Coturnix japonica: one gene and its partners. The protein of the gene in region 1 binds, or shares a complex with, the protein of each later gene. Links are inferred from orthologs where the notes say so. Each region holds a gene or a part of one and is shown in the gene's direction. Other genes may lie near its edges. The genes, in order: ACAD9, TMEM186 and NDUFAF1.

What was found.
Region 2: ACAD9 (region 1) and TMEM186 share a complex: the UniProt entries of both Homo sapiens proteins name them as parts of the mitochondrial complex. The link is inferred for Coturnix japonica from reciprocal best matches to the Homo sapiens genes ACAD9 and TMEM186.
Region 3: ACAD9 (region 1) and NDUFAF1 share a complex: the UniProt entries of both Homo sapiens proteins name them as parts of the mitochondrial complex. The link is inferred for Coturnix japonica from reciprocal best matches to the Homo sapiens genes ACAD9 and NDUFAF1.

Annotation. Positions count from the first base shown.
Region 1 is NC_029527.1:3,511,325-3,517,529, reverse strand, and holds part of ACAD9 (complex I assembly factor ACAD9, mitochondrial), read left to right. Parts: coding exon 1-32; intron 33-2,058; coding exon 2,059-2,160; intron 2,161-4,875; coding exon 4,876-4,982; intron 4,983-5,522; coding exon 5,523-5,623; intron 5,624-6,205. UniProt on the Homo sapiens protein: As part of the MCIA complex, primarily participates in the assembly of the mitochondrial complex I and therefore plays a role in oxidative phosphorylation.
Region 2 is NC_029529.1:9,414,835-9,421,012, forward strand, and holds TMEM186 (transmembrane protein 186), read left to right. Parts: upstream 1-3,074; coding exon 3,075-3,083; exon of another isoform or gene 3,084-3,167; coding exon 3,168-3,977; 3' UTR 3,978-4,855; downstream 4,856-6,178. Other genes in the region: PMM2 (phosphomannomutase 2), read right to left, coding at 653-754, 1,108-1,223, 1,698-1,773, 1,865-1,964, 2,140-2,231, 2,411-2,487, 2,620-2,731, 2,933-3,076. UniProt on the Homo sapiens protein: As part of the MCIA complex, required for efficient assembly of the mitochondrial complex I.
Region 3 is NC_029520.1:21,998,299-22,005,166, reverse strand, and holds the start of NDUFAF1 (complex I intermediate-associated protein 30, mitochondrial), read left to right. Parts: upstream 1-2,658; 5' UTR 2,659-2,891; intron 2,892-3,375; 5' UTR 3,376-3,484; coding exon 3,485-3,994; intron 3,995-5,099; coding exon 5,100-5,285; intron 5,286-6,868. Other genes in the region: RNA polymerase-associated protein RTF1 homolog, read right to left, coding at 2,349-2,615. UniProt on the Homo sapiens protein: As part of the MCIA complex, involved in the assembly of the mitochondrial complex I.

The DNA of each region.
Region 1 (6,205 bases):
GGGACCTGTAGAAAAATTCTTTGCTGAAGAAGGTATCGTTATTAGTTTCTTACTCGTGTAAGTGCTTTAGTGGTTACAGAGTGGTTTAACTGTAGCAGTTAAATAAGATTGTTAATATATAAGTTACTTTATGCAGCACAGTGCTGCTGGTGATACAGGCATGTTAATTTATGGCTTCTGTGTATGGACGCTTTACTTGTTCTGTACTAAACCTACTGTCAGCAGATTTCACTGTAGATATTCATAAATGGTGCCTCTTTGAGAAGCAATGGAAAATAAAAAGTATTTATGTACACTCTTATTTTCAGAGTTGGAGTAGTAATTCTGTTTGGAAAAGCCCCATTAGCTGTATGCAATCCACATAGGGGCACAGGTGTTCCTTCTCTTATTGATGCAGTAGATTGATGCAGTTCTAGAACAGCTGTAGAAAATTGGTTCTTAAAAACAGCTCTGAGGTACCTGAAAGTGTCGTCTGAGATCTGCTGGCAAAGATAGAGGCCTGGATTGCTGGAGCTTGAAGAAGCTGCAATGTTATATGTGATGATTTATGAGATACAGGCAGTTTTAACAATAAAGCTGCAACGTTGCACAGCAACAATAAATTAATTTATGCAGGTTATGCATTATAGTTCTTTGCTTTGTTGGGAAATAACATTTGTTGAGTAAAAAAGTGGATATTTAAGGGAGAAATAAAACTATCAGATTATAAAGTCTGGACAGAAGGTAGGAATTGATTGTCTTTGTTTGCATTAATGGCTGTTTCTGCCTAATGATTAGGCCAGTCTGTGGGCTGCGATATAAAACAGATAAGGGGAGCAGCCGTAGGTGCTTGGAAACCTGATACGTATGGCTGGCACCGGGTAACCAAAGAAGTTCAGTTCAGCCATGGTTCTAAAGCCTGGCAGTCTGTGGTGTAGAGCTCTGGGTGGGAAGTTCCTTTAGGAACACACTGCTGCTTTTACAGTGACTTTTCTGAGTGCTCTCTGGCAAGGTGGCTGTCATCCCTTTTGCTGTATCCTCCACCCTTCCTCAGCTGCCTGCTGTGATGCTGGTGTATTTTCCCTGTCACTGTGCAGAACCGCTGTGGTCGTCCCCTAAGAATTTAAATGCCTCATAAGAACCAGAGTTGTGTAATGAGCCCATTTCCCAATTATATGCTGTTCTATGATTCCATGATTAAGGACTTGGAAAAAAAATGATGGCCATGGTATAGTTTGGTAAGAAATGCCTGACTTACTCCAGTCACTGAGTCCACTGGAGCACACATTCAAGGCAATGAAACAAAAATGAGATTTTTTTCCCCACTTCCAAGTCCTTTCCTCAGGTCTGTCATGATCTGAGTGTCATAGTCAGTGTTCTGGGATCTTCTGGTGTTTAGGCCTTAATGGTGTGTGTAATAAGGTGGGGTGATCAGGTGGAGTGTTGGCTCCATGGCAGATCAGGTTCTTCTTAATGCTTTCAGCTCATTTCATGAGTAAAGTTGGTGCTTCCGGAAAACCAGGAAATTGCCTTTGGAAAAGCAATTGCTCAAGTTAATGTATCACATCTCTCCTGAAGGACAAAGCCTTCTGGAAACAAAGTTGGACTTCTGGAAGGAGTGTGTAGGAAGAGTGTTTTGCTCTGCTGGGAGGAGACTGGTTGGGGAAGGAGGCTGAGACCATTAGTCTTACAGGAGCCAGCTTAGGGTTTGAGATTTCCAGCCATGAGGGGACAGAGGCAAACAGGATGGCTCATAAGATCAGGCTAAACCTAGAATAAATAAGTCTTGTGACAGTAGGGATGAGATGTATGTAGGTATGTGGTGCAACAAGCACAATATTACTAAGCTGCTTCAGAAATCCACCGGGTAATTAGAGCAGGGGAGGCGTGCTGTTCCCGCAGCCATTTTTTCTGCAGGCTATTTCAGTTCTTCTCAAGCTGGTATTTAGGTTAGAGGGCACAGTGCTGGTGACTCATGGACGCAGTGACCTTAGCTCTGATTTCAGAGCGCGGTGATCTCACGTTTTTCTCTGTGATGAAAATCAAGGCTTTAAATTATTAAACTTTCTGTATTTGTAGTGGACTCCAGGAAGATTGATCTTGATGCAAAAATCCCACCTGAAACTTTGAAAGGACTGAGGGATCTGGGTCTCTTTGGCATGATGATTCCAGAGGAATATGGTGAGTAAGTGATCAAAAAGAATAACCTGGTGACCTGTGGTAAGATACTTGGCTGTCACATCATGTGTCTGTGATTCCTGTGTATTGTTGTGGCTGTCCAGTTAACACAGAGGTGTGGGCACTGAAGGTGTCAGTGCGGTGCTGTGCACTCTCCTGGCTTAAAGGTACCCAAGTTGGGTAATTGCATTTACCAGGTGTACATTGCCCCTGGCACAGAGTTTTCCTTTTAGTCCAATGTTTGGCTGCAGTGGAGTAGCGTGATGTTCTGTGGGACATGAAGGACAAGATGATGATTGCTAAAATTAGACCAGGTACAGACAGCAGTGTCTGATGGATCTGTCAGAGCTGTCATTCACTGACAGGAATGTGTTTGACTGCACAGAGTTAGAGAAGTGCAGTGCCTTGTGATACACAATGTGGCCTTTGTTGTAAAACATATTTGAACACAAAGCTTGTGTCTTAAAGGGGGTTACAGAGTAAGCTGGGATCAGACATTACTTACTCAGTGGATTAACTCTTAAACTTGCAACAGCAAGAAAATTACAGTCATATTCTGATGTGTTTTGAAAATGGGATTGAAACTGGTTCATAACTTGAAATATATAAAATAAGGAAAGAGATGCATTGTCTGCTTTCTAGTGTAGAACAGGAGAGCGACTGGAAGAGGAGGATTCAAAGGAAGGTGGAACTGGGTTTGACAGTCTGTAGTAATTAATTTCAGTGGGGAGGACACTTCACAATAGTGTGAAACAGCACATTTGTTCCAGTATTTGTAAGAATGCTGGATAGAGCTGGAGATGTACCTCAGTGTTAGTTTGCTGTTGAGGTAATACCCTTATTTCCATAAAGGGTTTTGTTCTGTTTGTTGTTTTATTGTATTAACATAAGTGGTGTTGCTAAGCTCCACTGATTTCACTTCCTTAGAGGTTTTTCCCAAATTAGAGTATTTTGGACAACCTGCATGTAAAGTATCATTATGTGATCTCTGTTTAATGTTGTTAATGCTTTTGGAATGCCTTAGAAATGCTGTAAAGTGTTTTTCAATGGGTATTTAGAGCACAGCAAGGCAATGCGGGAGTAGGATGGAGAACAGATCTGCAAGCACCATCAAGGTTTTATTTCCAGGATGGTGCTTTGGACAGAGCACCTTAACTCACATGGGGAGGGGGGGTAATTAGGAATTAAGAAACATACTGAGACGGCAGGAAGTTAATATCCAATGAAAGGAGGTGTTGGAAGCAGAGGACAAAGGAAACAACTCAAAGCAGATGATAAGAAAACATCATGACATTGAAAATGTAATTTACTGTTAATTAGAAATGAGTATCTGACTTAAAATCCTTAACAAATTATTATTACTTTTTGCATTGCCATATAATACTGTCAGTTCTGGTTTTTAGAAGCTTGCAGCCCATTCATGGTACTTGTATAAAACCATAGTCCTGCTGTCCTGTATTCATATATGCTGGATGAAAATCAGATTGCTATCAGCAGGTTACTTTTTTCACCACACCATGACTAATACACTTATGATGAGCTTATTTCCCATTTTTGTTGTTTAAACCTGCTATATTTGTGCTAGAAGTGCTTGTTGTACTTGAAAATTCTTCAGTCTAATATATTTGGTGCCTTGCTCAGTGCATGGTGTTTTTTGTAGTGGTTTGTAGTCGTGGTGTATTTGTGTTTCAAATGCAGAACTTTAATGGGAAGATGGAGCTGATGCTCGTGGTGTAGAAGTGCTCTTTGTCTTGTCATCACTGCAGTCAGGGTGCACACATCAGTGGTCTCTGAGCTCAGTGCTCCTCAGGGTGGGAAAAGAAAGAGCTGTAGCTGGATGGGATTCTGACTTCATTAGAAGCTGTGAAGGAATGGGGTGTGAGGAGCAGTGATTGGAATGGATGGCATTGAGGGGACTTGTTATTTCATGTGCAGAAAACAGCTGCACTATTGAGATGTCTGCTGAAATTAAGGCGCTTGTCATCCTGACTTCTGTCACTGTCTCTTGTAAAGAATTATAAACCCATAAACCTGGGCAAAAGATTCTCTTGCTCAGATAAAACTGTTTATTCAGTAATACTCATTGTAGTCTTAAGTGCTGGCGAGTGGGACTTGCAGTGCTGAAAACATCGTGTCCTTGAACGCTGCCCTCGGACGGGTGCGTCTGTGACGTGGAAGTGCAACGTTTCATTCTTAGTGCAGCTCTGACTGTGGATCTGCTCCATGTCACTTCCACTTTGTTTCCTGGCTGAGCGCCCTGTGTGCCCCGTGCAGCGCTGCTCCCTCTGCTGCCTGCTCAGCTGCAGAGCTCTGCTGGGCTTCCTTCCCTTCTGCAAGGTCAGGACAGTAATTTTATCCTGGATGCACAGAAATCCAGAATCGAGACATTTTTATACCAAATCTTTTACTGATTTCTCCCTTTTTATAGGCTTGTTGTACCATTGGGTGCATGCATGCATACACAGGTCTGTTTTTTCAATAGAACTACGCTTAGCACAACTCGTGTTTATTTAAAAAAGCCTTTTGTTGTGCTTTAGATGAGCTCTAATGTCACACCTGCAGCACGTGGCAGCTGTTTGTGGGCTGTCCATACTGAGGTGTTCCCCAGCAAGCACCACTATTAAAATATGGCTGTATTTAAAAGGGAATTTTTGAGTAGGAGTGAGTGAGTTAAACTGTGAGGTACCTGCTTGGAATAAAGCACAGTGTTTGTTCCAGGTGGTCTCGGACTGTCACACATCATGTACGCACGGCTGGGAGAAATCATCTCCTTGGATGGATCGATCGCGGTTACTCTGGCAGCTCACCAGGCTATTGGGCTGAAGGTATGAAGCTGACACAAATCCTTCCTCATTTGTTGGTACTGATATTTTATCTGCTTAATCATAAGAACCCCCGTATAGAAAATAAATACGACTCTCTACAATAATAATTAAAGTAACATTATGCTTTGTAGTGAAATAGTTTGGAAATTAAGTAAATCACGTTCTGTTCTCTGATTAGGAGCTTCTAGAGTCGATCCTTTTTGAGTTACTTAATAAAATCATAATGAAGGTATGATGAGTTATGAAGGGAGGGCTGTGTCTGTGCCTTTCACAGCAACAATTACATCCTTGCTTCCAGCATTAGGATCCAGGAACCTCCCTGAGAAGGCAGCCTTAACAGCGAGCTGCTTCTTGGGGGCCTCTGAACAGCTGTTACTTTGGCATCTTTTAATGCCTGATCAGTAATAAAGTCCTTTGTTTATTGAACTTGTTCTTAGTACTGCCTTGTTATGCCATATAATTTGCAGATTAACATTGGTGCAGTTTGCTTCAGTTCTGCTGACATCGTTTGATGCTGAAAAGTTTTAATTCTGTGTGCAGGGAATCCTGATTGCTGGCACTGAGCAGCAGAAGGCCAAGTACCTGCCTAAGCTGGCGTCTGGGGAGCACATTGCAGCCTTCTGTCTCACTGAACCTGGAAGGTACTGCTCTTGTAACTAGGAAATCTTCAGAAAGCACCAGAACACCAAGATGATGCTTCCTTTACTGTCTGATTGCTTTGTCACTGTATAAAAATAATAGGAAGGACTTTTGGTCCTTATATAGACACCTGGGGGTGTTTATAAAAGGTATCTTTGTAGCAGCAACCTCCTTTTGAAGCCAGGGTTGTATTTGAGTTTAATCCTTGATCAAACCAGCAAGTTCTGTCAGTGCAAATGAGGCGGCTCCATTAAAATCATGCTGGCAGGTGGTTTGCTGTGGGATGGCTGATCACTTAAACTTTTAACAAAGTAATCCATGCAAGGGACTTTGAAATGACTTGCAGGAAGGAAACAAGGGCTGACTTTGTTCGGAAAGTCCTCTAACAACTTTATTTAGCCTTGTATGATTTTTGAAAATTGCTGGTCCTTGTAAGTGCAGCTCCAGCCTCTGCTGGTATTTCTGTTCTAGCACACAGGACAGTCATTTTTACAGCTGAGTTTTAGAACTCTGATCCTATTAAAGCATCAGCTGAGATCTTGGTGTTCCAGGAACTTGTCTGCAGCTGAAAGCCCAGTGTGAGA
Region 2 (6,178 bases), on another chromosome or scaffold:
TTAAGGCCATAAATCAACAACAGGCAGATTAATGGGGAGGGATGAGGAGGGAATGCAATGGAATTAATTAGCGATGAAATTTTACTGGTTAGTTTAAAGAGAGGGAAAGAAGGAAAAACAAGAGGAAAAACAAGGTCATTTTTCCCTGCACAGATTTACAAAATATATTGTCAGGTGTATCTAAAAGAGTGCATCAGTGTAACAGTATCACCCCTTTATTTTCCAGTAGTTCCCGTGACTTCAAGCACAAAAACATGAGCAATCAAGTTCTGTGGGTTAACCTGGCCAGAAATGCCTGCTTTTCTAATTGAAATTAATTACTGTCCTCAAAGTAATGCTCCACAGGGAAACACAGGAGACATAATAAAGTTGTTTGGGCTGATGACTTTAAAGAAACAAACAAAAAAGAACAAAACCACAACTAACCAAAAAGTACTTCTGTTAATAGAAACCGTGAAAGGATGGTCCTAAATGAGCTCTGCTCTATTAACCAGTTACCAGGGTTATCTTCACTTAAAACCCTTCACTTTTCACCCTCAAAGCACATAGTATTTATCACCAATTATAAAAACAATACAGAATGAGGATGGTTTGAACTATTAAGCTGTTTTAACCATTTTGTAAGTGAGAAGTCTAAAAGAAAGTCTTTTAATTAAAAAAACAGCTCTTCACAGATTCTTCTTGTATCCTGCGGGGACGTAACGCTGTGGCCTTCGGTTCTGGAGTCTGTGAAAATTTCATAATCATTCCCACCCTGAAAAGGTAAAAAGCAGAGGAAAGTTTCTTTAACGTTATTTAACTCAGTTAAATGCATTAGCTTCAACTAATGCAGTAGCCTGGCATCCTTTTTGTAAATGTAAAAGCAAACAGCATAACCGAGCAGAATTTGCAGGCAAAATCTATTTGAAGCTTCAGACACCCTATTTTTGTTTTTCTTAATTTTCTAAGAGATAGTAACTCATATATATATATATAGTTATATATATATATGTGTGTGTGTCTATTCTAAATTCAGTTCTTGTCAGGCATAATGGAGCTGACAGGAACTGACAGTACTTGCAGTTCAAAACGCAGCCCTGAAACATGTTCCCAAAACAGTTTACTCACTGGCATAGTCTTATCTCCAAAGAAATAAACAGTCTTGTATCCATCTTCTGCAATGATTCCTAAGCAGTACCTCTTGTCCCAGCCATCTGGGAATACGTCAAAGCTTATCTGGCCTCCTACAAGAGACACGAACCAAGAAAGCTTTGTTAAAAGAACACATTTGTCAGAAGTGAGGAAGAACAAAATGGAGTATGACTTTTAGTAGAGTGAATGCTGAGTTGTGGCCTGAAGCATTGATTGAACACCTGGTAAGAAGTGCCCAGGGGCACTCAGGTGCAGGCAATGTACTGAGTGATGGAAGGGCTGAAGCCAGGATCCACCCCTTCCCAGACCTCATTTAAGGGTTAGTAGTGGAGGTGAGAGCATCTTGCTGGAGATCCCTGTGTATCTGAGGCCTTCTGAAGGTAAGCAGCTTCTTTCCTTTGTTTCTGTGCCCATGGCTGTTGTGTTTGAGCATGTTTAGGACCTTGATGCTGTGCTATTGCTGCTGTACTTTCATGTTACAGTGTTTTGTGTTAGGTTGTTTGGCAGGGGGAGGATCTGATTTAAATGAAATGGTGTTTCAAATGAGATTATTTCAAATGTGATACCTATAGAAAATGTGAGGCCTTTTCCTGCAAATTCTCTTCGTAAATCAGCTACAAATTTTTCTCTTATATGCTCCTTCTGTGTAAGAAAAACAAAGAAACAAAAGGGATCAGCTGCACGCTGTGTTAATTCAGCAATAGAAAAATAATAACTAAAAACACCCAATCACCTTATCAAGTTCATAGAACTCAATTCGTTCTTCCTGGCTACAGCTTCTTCCAATGGGGGACACGTTTAACATCCCATTGCGGAATTCAATAAAAGTGCCCCTGAAAGAGAATTAATTAACAAGGCAGAAAACAGATGAAACAACGTTTAAGATACTGAATGTAGCAATGAGGCTTTGTTTAAAGACAGTGGGACCCCTTTACATGAGGTGTCTGCTTTGCACATTGAAGCCCAGCACTCTTAGATGCTGACTTGAGATGCATCCTATGCACATACCTTTTCTTTGGCAGTTTAATCTTTGCAATGTAACTCAGGCAGTAGTTGATGAGGTCTTGGAGCACCTCCTCACCCAGGTGACCCTGAATGTTCTAAACAAAATCAATACCATTAATTAACCCAGGCTCCACATCTGGAGATCCTTGAAACAGTTTAACAGGAGAACACAGCTGGTGGATAATCAGCTGTGATTGCTGGCACAGAGCAGTGGCCTTTCAATAAGGAACTCTCCATTGATTTAACTAGAAGTTCCCACTTTTTTTGCCCCTACCTGCTTGCTGAAGAACTTCCCATCTTTGTAAGCCACGAGCCCGTTCTCTGGAAACACGTAGTCAAACTTCTCAACCACTGCAAACAAACAGGAGGAAGGTGGTGACAGGAACCGCCCGTGTGTTCAAACGTGAGTTACACGGGTTAGAACGAGTGAGATCCCAACGGGAAGAAGGACTCGGTAACCCCGGGCACAGCCCCATCCCGTACCGTCATCACCGAGCTGCTCCTTGATCTTCTCAAAGTCTGAACCCCCGACAACGCCCACCTTCACCTTCTGACGCAACCTCTGCAGGAACTCCGCCATCTCCGCCGTGATTTTCTACGGTCGAAAATCAAACAGTGCAATCGGGGTCAGCATTACCCGGAGCTGTAACAGCCCCGTGCCCAGCCCATACAGCCCCGTGCCCAGCCGTGTGTGCAGCCCATACAGCCCCGTGCTCAGGCGCTGCCCCATTGACCGCTCCAGGCCCCTCATCCCGCCCCGCTCGGCCCTGATCTCCCCCCGCCGTTCTCCACTCACCTGCCGCGGCGCAGTGAGGGTCCCGTCCACATCGAACAGACACAGCACGGCTCGCTCCGCCGGCGCCATCGCGGCTGTGAGCAGCGGGGCCAGCCGGGAAGGGGGCGGTGCTGTGAGACGGCGGCGTGGCAGCGCTTCCCTCATGGCGATGGTGAGTTGTGGTGGTGCGGGGGGAGCTCGGCCTGCTCAGGGTGCGCGGCTTTGGGCCTCGTTGTTCACCTCAGTGTGCCCGCAGGTCCGGCTGTGCTGCGTGAGGAGCGGCCGCGCCTTGTCGGCCATGGGGAGGTGGCTGCATGGGGGGACCTGCAGGACGGTGTGGAAGGAGGAGGCCGCCGGGCCGCCCTGCTCGCTCGGTAGGGCCGTGTGTTGGTGGGCACACAACGGGAGAATCCACGGCTTTCTCGGTGACCGTGTGCCGTCTCGGTTCCTGCGCCGTTGGTCTCACAGAATCACACAGAATCACACATTGACCCGGGTTGGAAGGGACCTCAAGGATCATGTAGTTCCAACCCCCCTGCCTGGCAGGGCCGCTCCTGTCGCTGCCATCCCGCAGGTTGGAGGAGGTAAAAGCGAAGAGTTCCGCGTGGTGTACAGGTTCCCTGGTATTAAATACTGCCGGCTGCTGTCGAGGTTGAAGCTGCTTCAGACCGCAACGACGCTGCTGGTGCTTCCACCCGTGTGTTACCTGCACCTGCAGCAGCAGCTGCCCCAGGCCGTGCTGCTGTACACGGCCGGCATCGCTGTCTTTGCCGCTGTGATGCTGTACGGGATGAGTTACTTTTTCAGACGAATTATCGGGTTGATTTACTTAAGTGAAAGCGGAAGAACCGTCAAAGTGTCCCACATGACGTTCTGGGGGAGGCGCAACGACATCTGCTGCCCCTTGGAGACGGTGATGACTTTGGATGAGGTCGGGGATGCCAGGGGAGAGCTGCTGCTCCGGTTCAGAAGGTACAACAGCACAGAGGTCTTGTATTTCACTATTAAATACGGACAGATTGTGGACAGACAGAAGTTTATGCAGATATTTGGAGAGCTGCAGTGATTCAGCGGCAGCTGATGCCTCTTGTTGTATTGTTCCTTATGTGGATTCTTGCACAACATGCAATTCGTTTATCGAACTGATACACTTCTGTCATTTTTGCCACGTCTGCTGGGCTGTGTGTTCAGTGTAACAGTATCCAACAGTCCTCTGGGTAAGTAAGTAAGTGTTGCAGTTCTGGGGTGAGCAGGAGTGCTCCTTTTGGATGCAGTTAGTGTGTGCAGTGTCACACAGCCATAGAGGCAGCGAGGTGCTGCCCTGCAATGTTTCAGCTTTGGAGGCTTTGGGTAAAAAAAAACCCAAGCTTTCAAAGTGAGTGTCAGAGCATCCTCATTTCAGATTCACCTTCAGCAAGGTTTAGGTTAGCTGGGAAACTTAGTGAAATTCAAGTGCTCCCATACAGTCGTATGATAAATGATGCTAGATGTCAGAGTGATACTGGCCCATGGATTTATGAGCAGTAATTAGTAGTTATAATGGTGAAAAGGCTTCCTGACAATCATAAAATCAGTGTTAAAGAAACGATATTTGGATCAGCTCTGAGTACGCAGGGCTGGTGGCTGTGTGGGTGCAAACAGAACCCAAGTGCTGCTGCACAGCTGATGTCTGGGTGGTTAAAGCCCCTCCAGGAGCCTTCAGTGTTAAATCATTTCCCATTGAAATAAAGGAAGAATGCAGTATTCTTCGTTTGTGGTGCTATGAATGACAGGGAGCCCTTTCTCAGTTCGGATTTTAACAATCATTATGTTGAAATTTGGAACTACTTGTTCTTGTCTGCATATGTTCATGCTGGGGGGGTTGTTTGTATGTATGTGTGAATGACATTTAATCACTGCTGTAGCACTCGAGTTGCAAAAACAGTAAATATTGCTAAAAAATTATCTGAGACTGAAGTCACCAACCTTCTGTTTACCACCATAGATCACCATGTAGCTGTGGTTCAGCTGCTCTGTCCTGCTTGATCTGTGTGTTGATTTGGGCTCTCTAACGTCTACAGCACCCTTGGCAAATACCCACCCACTGCCCTGACCTAAAACAAGGGGAGAAAAGGTAAAACAGATAAAAGCTGTGTTGAATTACAGCTGAGAAGTGTAACAGGTGTAGCTTGTTCTGTTGAACTGGTAGAGCTGATCACAGCCCCCCCTGTGTGTGTGGAGCTCATCACCTCACCCCCTGTGTCTGTAAAGGGCAGAGGAGGTGCTCTGCTGTATTATTGATTCCTCCTTTGCCAAAGCCAAAATCTCAGCAGAAATCAGGATTTAAATCTAGGAACAAATGTAGTTCAATGTACAATGTCCTAAAGGTTTGTACAATGCAGTACAAACCTTTAGGAGCAGCAGATTGTTTGGCACAGGGGAAAGGAGGCCTGGGGACTTTATTACTCTCTACAGTTAGTTACCTCAAAGGAGGCTTTAACAAGGCAGGGCTCAGTCTCTTCTCCCAGGTAATAGTGATTGATAGGATGAGGAAACAGCCTCAAGTTTAAGCTGTTTAAGGGTAATTTTAAGGGTATTATAAGAAGTCTTTTTGAAGCACTATGGCAGGCTGTCCCGGGCAAAGCTGAGGTACTGAAAAGACTCAACACATGCAGTGCTGAGGGACGTGGTTTAGTGGCCGTTCTAGGTTAACAGTTGGATTTGATGACTTCTGAGATCATTTCCAGCACATCAGCTAACCTCACCAGCAGCGACATCTGGAACGTGCTTTTCGGTCTATTCCTCGGGCCTACTAAAATCCATCTCAGTGGATCAGCAGATCAGGTAGGTACAATTGCTGTTACAGTGCAAATGCTAACCCCGATGTACTGCCCACTCATGTTGAATGTCTCCTGATTGGGGTCTCCATCTCAGTTTTGGCTGATAGCGAGTTGTGCAGCAATATCAAAAAGAAAATAAAAATGTTCCTTGGCTTAAATGCTGTGGGAGCAGAATCTCAGCTGACTGAAGTGGTCTGGTATGGGTTGTGGAGAAATCTCTTCATGTGAATGTAGTTAATATGTGCACTAATGATTCAGCCTAGGCACGTGCTAGGGGTAAAATAAAGAGCCTTGGGGCAGTTGAATTATAAATATTTTATTTAAGAATACTGATTACACGAGATGTCATTGTTTGTTTTATGAATCTGTGTACAGTTACTGGTTACACCATGAAGTGTAGTTAAGTATTGGCTTAAACATTTATTTGGCACTGTCCACAGTATGTTGT
Region 3 (6,868 bases), on another chromosome or scaffold:
TCTTCCTTTTAAAGACATTTCTTTACTAGGAGAGTGGTTCGGCCCTGGAACAGGCTGCCCAGGGAGGTTGTGGATGCCCCGTCCTTGGAGGTGTTCAAGGCCAGGTTGGACGGGGCCATGGGCAACCTGATCTAGTAAAGGTGTATGTTTGGTGGCCCTGCCAGGCAGGGGGGTTGGAACTACATGATCCTTGAGGTCCCTTCCAACCCGGCTCATTCTGTGATTCTGTGATTTGAAACCATACACGTTATAAAGGAGATATATCACAGCTGATGCTTCTGGCGAGACTGTTCAACTCTGTTTCAGCATCCTCAGGTGCCAGGGATGGCACTAAAAGCAGGGGACACACACAGAGCAGGCACCAAGCTCAGACTTGTGAAGCAGCCCCAAAAGCCACACAGGTAACCAAGAAGAAGTACCGGCTCACAAACAAACTCATCATCTGCTGCTCACGGATTGTCCAGGTGACAGAAGCAGTAATTCAAACCAATTATTTCTGAAGCTGCAGTGCTGTCTTTGTAGCCTATGATTTAATTTATTGTTAAAAGCATTGCTCTGGGGCTGATGAATCTTAGTGGTGAGCAAAAATAAAGCCACACCAACTTCTGCAAGCTTGGGAAGACAATACTGGTTGGGTTTGAATTAGATTCACATCTGAAAGACCATCTCCACAGCAAACAGATTAGAGTTTAGGACCTCAAGTGAGAACACAAACATTGCTGAGGCTGAAGGCCTAGGCTTTTACCTACAAAGTTGGCAATGGCACTTCACAAATGATGTTCTGAAGACAAGATCCAACACCAACAGAATGTATTTCTACAATAAGAGGCTCCCACGAGGAAGCACCTGGTGTTTTCTACAACCCTTTTCTAGACATCACCTCTAACAGCAGTCACTAAGTTGTACTTCTACACAGACTGTGTTCCATCATGATATCTCGGTGTTAACACTTACTGCCACCTTTACTCCAAGCAATACAAGCAACTCCTCCTGCTTTCAGGTTCTGAAGTGACTATGGAATTAATACAGCAGGGTGAGAAGCTGACAGCTTTACAAGGCGGCAAGATCAGTACCATCAGGGCAGGATCTATGGTATGTTTGTTTAAAGGGGCGTAGAATTTGCAGCTCCAGTCTGCAAAAGCATTTCTGAGCATTTGAGGCCAGTGTTATTTATTTACAACACAGCAACAGCTTCTCTATTAAAAACTCAAAGGCCCAGCACACAGACAGACGTGTAGGCACCAGCACGTGAAATCAACCCAGCTTCTTCATAGAAGAAGGAGGGCACAGTAGATACACCACACTTTGCCTACATCTTTATTTACCACCTGTCAGCAGCTGCTGCCCTGAGAGCTGGAGCGCTGAGAATGACCCTGCAGAGAGGAGTGCAGCGCTGCCATACGCACATCGCGCTGCCCCACACCGCACTCCCAGCCCCACCAGGTGCTCCAACGGCAGCGCACGGCTCCCACCAGCACAGCGCAGCGCAGCCGGCAGGGCCCGGCACGGAGCACCCGCATGCGGCTCCCGGGATCGGCCGCCCGTGCACGGCGCTTCCCGTGGAGCAGGCGGCAGTACACACACACAGCACACACAGCACACACACACAGCACACACAGCACATACACACAGCACACACACACACACACAGCACACACACACACAGCACACACACACACAGCACACACACACACACACACACACACACACAACACACACACACAACACACAGCACACACAAACAGCACACACAAACAGCACACACAAACAGCACACACAAACAGCACACACACAGCACACACACAGCACACACACACACACAGCACACACACACACACAGCACACACACACACACACAGCACACACACACACAGCAACACAACTACACAGCAACACAACAACACAACCACACAACAACACAACACAACAACACAACCACACAGCAACACACCAGAAACACACAACACGACCACACGACACACACATCCAGAGCACACACACATCCCAAGCACACACACACCCCGAGCACACACATACACCCCGAGCACACACATCTAGAGCACACACACACAACACACAGCACACACACACAGCACGGCTCCCCGCCGCCATGCCCCCCGCCCGCGCCTCAGGATCCCGCGGGCCGAACCCCCGCGCATCCCCGCGGCCCCGTGCTGCTCAGCCGCCGGTACTGCCGGGCAGGGCGGCCCGAAGCGGCGCCGCGCGGTCTGTCCGCGGAGCCCCCCCCGGGGCCGCATCCCGGCCGGGCCGAGGGGAGGAGAGAAGGACGGATGGCGGCTCCCGGCCCCTCGCGGCCCGGAGGGCCCGGTCCGGGCCTCCCCGCGCACCTGGTCGAGGTTCTCCTCGCTGCCGCTGTCCTCGGTGTCGGAGTCGATGAGGACGCGGCCTTTCCGCTTCTTCACCATGGCGGAGCCGCCTTCCCCGCGTCCCTCTCGGCCGGCGGCGGCGCGGCGCTCCTCACGGCCCGGCCTGCCCCGCGCCGCCCGCCCGACCGGGACACAAAGGGCACCGCGCATGCGCACCGCGACGGGGCGGGAAGGAGGGCGGGGCCGCCGCGGGTCGTTCCGCTGCCCGTGAGCGGAGTAGGGCGACATGGCGGCAGCGGCCCGTTCCGCTCCTCGGGGATCGGGACTTCGCGCACAGGCCGCTCCCCCGGCCGCATCTCCCGTTCTGTCCACGCACCGCTCCTGCCCGGCCCCCGCAGGCGGCCGTCTGCCCCAAACCGTAACTCATTAAGCACAAACACACGGGGAAGGGCTCCTGGGTCCCTCCGCGCCGCGCGGGTGTGAGGCCGCGCCGTGGGCGGAACCTGAGCGGCCTGGAGCGCGTTCCCCGCCGGGCACGGAAACGCCGAGGAGCCGCGGCTTGAGGTGAGAGGAGCGGGGAGGCACGAGCGGGGCGGGGGGGGAAACCGGGCTGTGGTACGGAACGGCACCGCACGGCACGGCACAGCACTGCCATGCGGCGGGATGCAGCCATCCCAGGGACCGGCCTGAGCAGCCTGAGGGGCCGCGGCCTTGAGAGGTGTCCGCCTAGAGGAGCGCTGTGCCTGAGGCTGTTCTTGTTGGTGTTGGTCGAGAATAACTAAGCGTACATCGGGTGGAAGGTTAGCAGGAATAGCTGTGTTTATCTACTCTTTGCTTTTGTTTAATGTATTTGATTCTTTTCGTATTTCACATCACTGGGCAAGAAACACTGAAACAACCTAGAGGGCCGAGGAAGTGTAATACTCGGCATTATTTGTTATTCCTTTTTCTTAATGGCTGGAATTTCTAATTAATGTGACTTTAGAAATATATACATGCACCTAGTGTTTCTAAATCTTTAATTTTTCTTTTCTCTTTTTCATTGAAGGTGGGGGTTAACTGCAGTTACAACACAGGATACATCCAGATACGAATTTGGCTGTTAATTTCAACCCTATCGATTGCCCTGCTGGAAGCAGCTCCTTTTAGTTACCAGCATGGCTCTGTCTGTCACGTTGCTGAGCATCGCAGGCTCACACAGTAGATGCTGCAGACACAAAGTTTTGCAGCCCTTGCTTGGAACTGTCCGTGTTGACTCCGTGTCAAAATGTTACAGCAGTTACCGGAGGCCGGGGGCGCAGCCTGAGGTGAAACCGTCTTGGCGAAACATTGATTTCAGCTTTAAGAAGGGCTTTGATGCCTTAAAGACCCAGCTAAAGCTGCTGAAGCAGGAGACCAAAGATCATCTCACAGGACCTGATGGCCAATCATTCAGTCAGTACCTGCTGGAACAGACGAAGGTGATGTGGGAGTTTCGGAGCCAGGAAGATTTAGATAAATGGGTTATCTCCTCCGATGTAGAGATTGGAGGGAAAAGTGAAGTTCACCTAAAGCTGGGTAGGAACAACCAGGGTGCCATGCTGTATGGAGTACTCAATACTGAAGTACCTCGGGATGGGGAGACCAAATACAGTGGATATTGTAGCATGAGAGCCAAACCAGCCGTGGTAAGTACAGCATCTGTTACTCGAGTGTTTCTCTGTAATCCCAGTGATGACGGGTGGGCTGCTGGTTACTGTGGTTGTGACCCATCACCTTCAGGATTATCAGATACTGCTTGTATAGATGTAATTGCTCTTGTATCCATTGACCTGGAAGGAACTTAAAAGTCTAGCTTGGCTTTTCTTAGAAAATAGTGCATTTGATCATTTGCTGATGTAACATCACTCAGTAACACAGTCCTGTTTGTGTTTTCTTCACAGAAGAGGGATTTATAGCAAAACCATAAAATCAAGTAGCCGCAGTCTTTGTATTAGTGTGTTCATTAATTATCTACCAACTGTGAGCTTATATAAGGAAGGCTTCATTTTATTTATAAGGATGGTTAACTGTAGTAGCGCTGTGATGTTAAGGAGAAGCCTCAGGATTGATGGTGCAAGTTTTGGTTTGGTTTGAGCAGTTCTGGCCTAGAATATCCCTGATGCCACCCTAGTGCTCCAGTGACATCACTAACATTCCGCAGAGGTCATGGGAGCTGTCAGAGCATATGAGCAGAATATGGAGCATATCACAGCTCTGGGACTTTGGAAGATCTGTGGATAATACACTTGGGGCCTGGATGTGCTTGTAACCTGGATCATTGTGCAGTTAGCGTCAAAACCTGTTGGGAAATGTGTAAGTGCTTTTAGTCCTCCTGTCAGTCTTCAGTAGAGAAAGTCAGTTACCACAGGGGATACATTATCCCACGTTTCTTGTAACCTCTTCTGAGTAGTCTAGTGCTCACCACAGAATATTAAACAACTATTAAACTAGGCCTGTAGTTAGAGCATTTGTGTTCTTGTCTAGGAGGGGATTTGTTCTTAGGAGATAAATCTGATAATTACCAGATTTATAATGAATGTGTGGATCTTCAGAGTGGTGATACTACGTTTTGTGGTTTCTCATGTGGTCTCTTTGTTGAGATGCGAGACTGCTCTGATGAAAAAGGACCCCGGTTTCACTGCATCACGGTTATTTGCAGTAAGAACAAGGGCAGTGATCCAAGCAGTAGTGCTCATAATGCAGATTTCCTTTTAAGTACGAAGGTGGGATAATTCTATTTCTTATTTGTAGGGATCTTTTGCTAGGAAGAAGTATTACGACTGGTCCAACTTCAACAGTCTGTATTTACGTGTCCGTGGTGATGGCAGAGCTTGGATGGTCAACATTTATACAGACCCTTACTTCTCCCATCAAAAGGATGACCTGTACAACTACTTCATGTTCACCCGAGGTGGACCGTACTGGGAGGAAATAAAGGTAAACGAATGAGTCGCTAAATCTGAAAGTAACTTTTCTAACTAGGTGCAGTTCTAGACATTTCTGAAGCAAAGGCTGTTTCAGGGCCATAGCTGTAGCTCTGTGGAATGACAGCTCTTTCAGCAGTTATCATTTATTGCTGTTTAAATACTTAGCCCATTTAATTGTGTTCTCCACGTGTCTGTGGTGTATCCACATACAGACGTGGCCCTTTGATTTGGAAGGTCCCAGTGCTGTAACTTACTGGATTGTGGGAGTATAAACTGTGAAAATTAAATCAAATAATACAATAAATTTAGTGTTAGTATATGAATATGTTATCTATTATGTATTTTAAATAATCTACCACGTGTTTCCCGGAATGTCTGTTGTTTGCTGTTACAGGAGGCAGACCTTTGAACTGGGCTGGCGCTATACATGTATACTATATCCCATGCTATAGAATGGGAATATATGTGCTATAATACATACATTATGACAAATGTATGTATATACTTAAATTTAATTAATTGAAACAAACAAACAATAAATTCTACTCCTATCTGAAATTGGCTTCATGAGCTGAGGGCTCTTTAGTACAGACTAACAAAAAATGAGCCACCAAAACTAGAACATCGTGGTTGTCCCACGTGTGTGTGGGGCTGTAGTGGCGCTCAGGAGCACCTGCCATTCTGTATCTATGATTGTCTGGGAGCCTGTGGGTCTTAACACTGGGAAACACAACAAGCAGCCACACAGGGTGCATACTCAGCTCATACAGTGGGTGGTCAGAGCATGCACTGAATAGATGCAGCTATTGCAGCTTTGCAGGCAGCGCCAGGAACTTTCTATGCAATAACCGTTTTATCTGTAATGAATGGACTTAGATTGGTGTAGGATGTGTACCCTTCAACATGGTTTGCCAAACTTGGAGTCACTTGGGGCCTCAGAGGTGTGTGGATTGTTAGTCACAGCCTTTGAATCTGTGACACCCTGTAATGTTGGCAAGAAATGGGAGTTTCAGCTCTTTTCTGAGGACAGTGAAGTGTGTCACTGCTGGCCTGCACGTGTTCCTCACTCACAGCAGCCAGTTCTCGTTTCCTGTCCCTTGTCACAGCCCTCCTTTCTTGTTCCCACCCAGTTCAAATCACTGTTATATTTTTGTGAACTGTTTGCTAGGACGTTGATGTCTTTGAATGAAATTTGCAGTATAGAATATGCAGGCTGGATGTGGATGAGCTCTCCGTGGGCCTATAGTGCATCCTAGACTTCTCATTAATTTGTTAAAGCTGACACGCCATTGGAAGGTGATATTCTAGATGTGAACAGCCATCTTCCATGCTTCAACCTCTCCTGCGTCAATCTGAGCTATCTCTGAGCATCCAGCTAGCTCAGAATCCAGCCTAACAGCTGGAAACAGCTGCTGGAGGGCAGTGTGGGGCTGGAGCTGGCAGCACATGGCTAATGAGTGACCTGCTGCTTTTTGCTGATTCTTCGGACTTTGAAGTGCTGGTACCAGATTTAGTGTTATTTCATTTTCTAAGGCAGGGTTTGTTTGTTTTTTTCCCCTTTAAGGTTTTATTCTATATATACTGGTGACACTA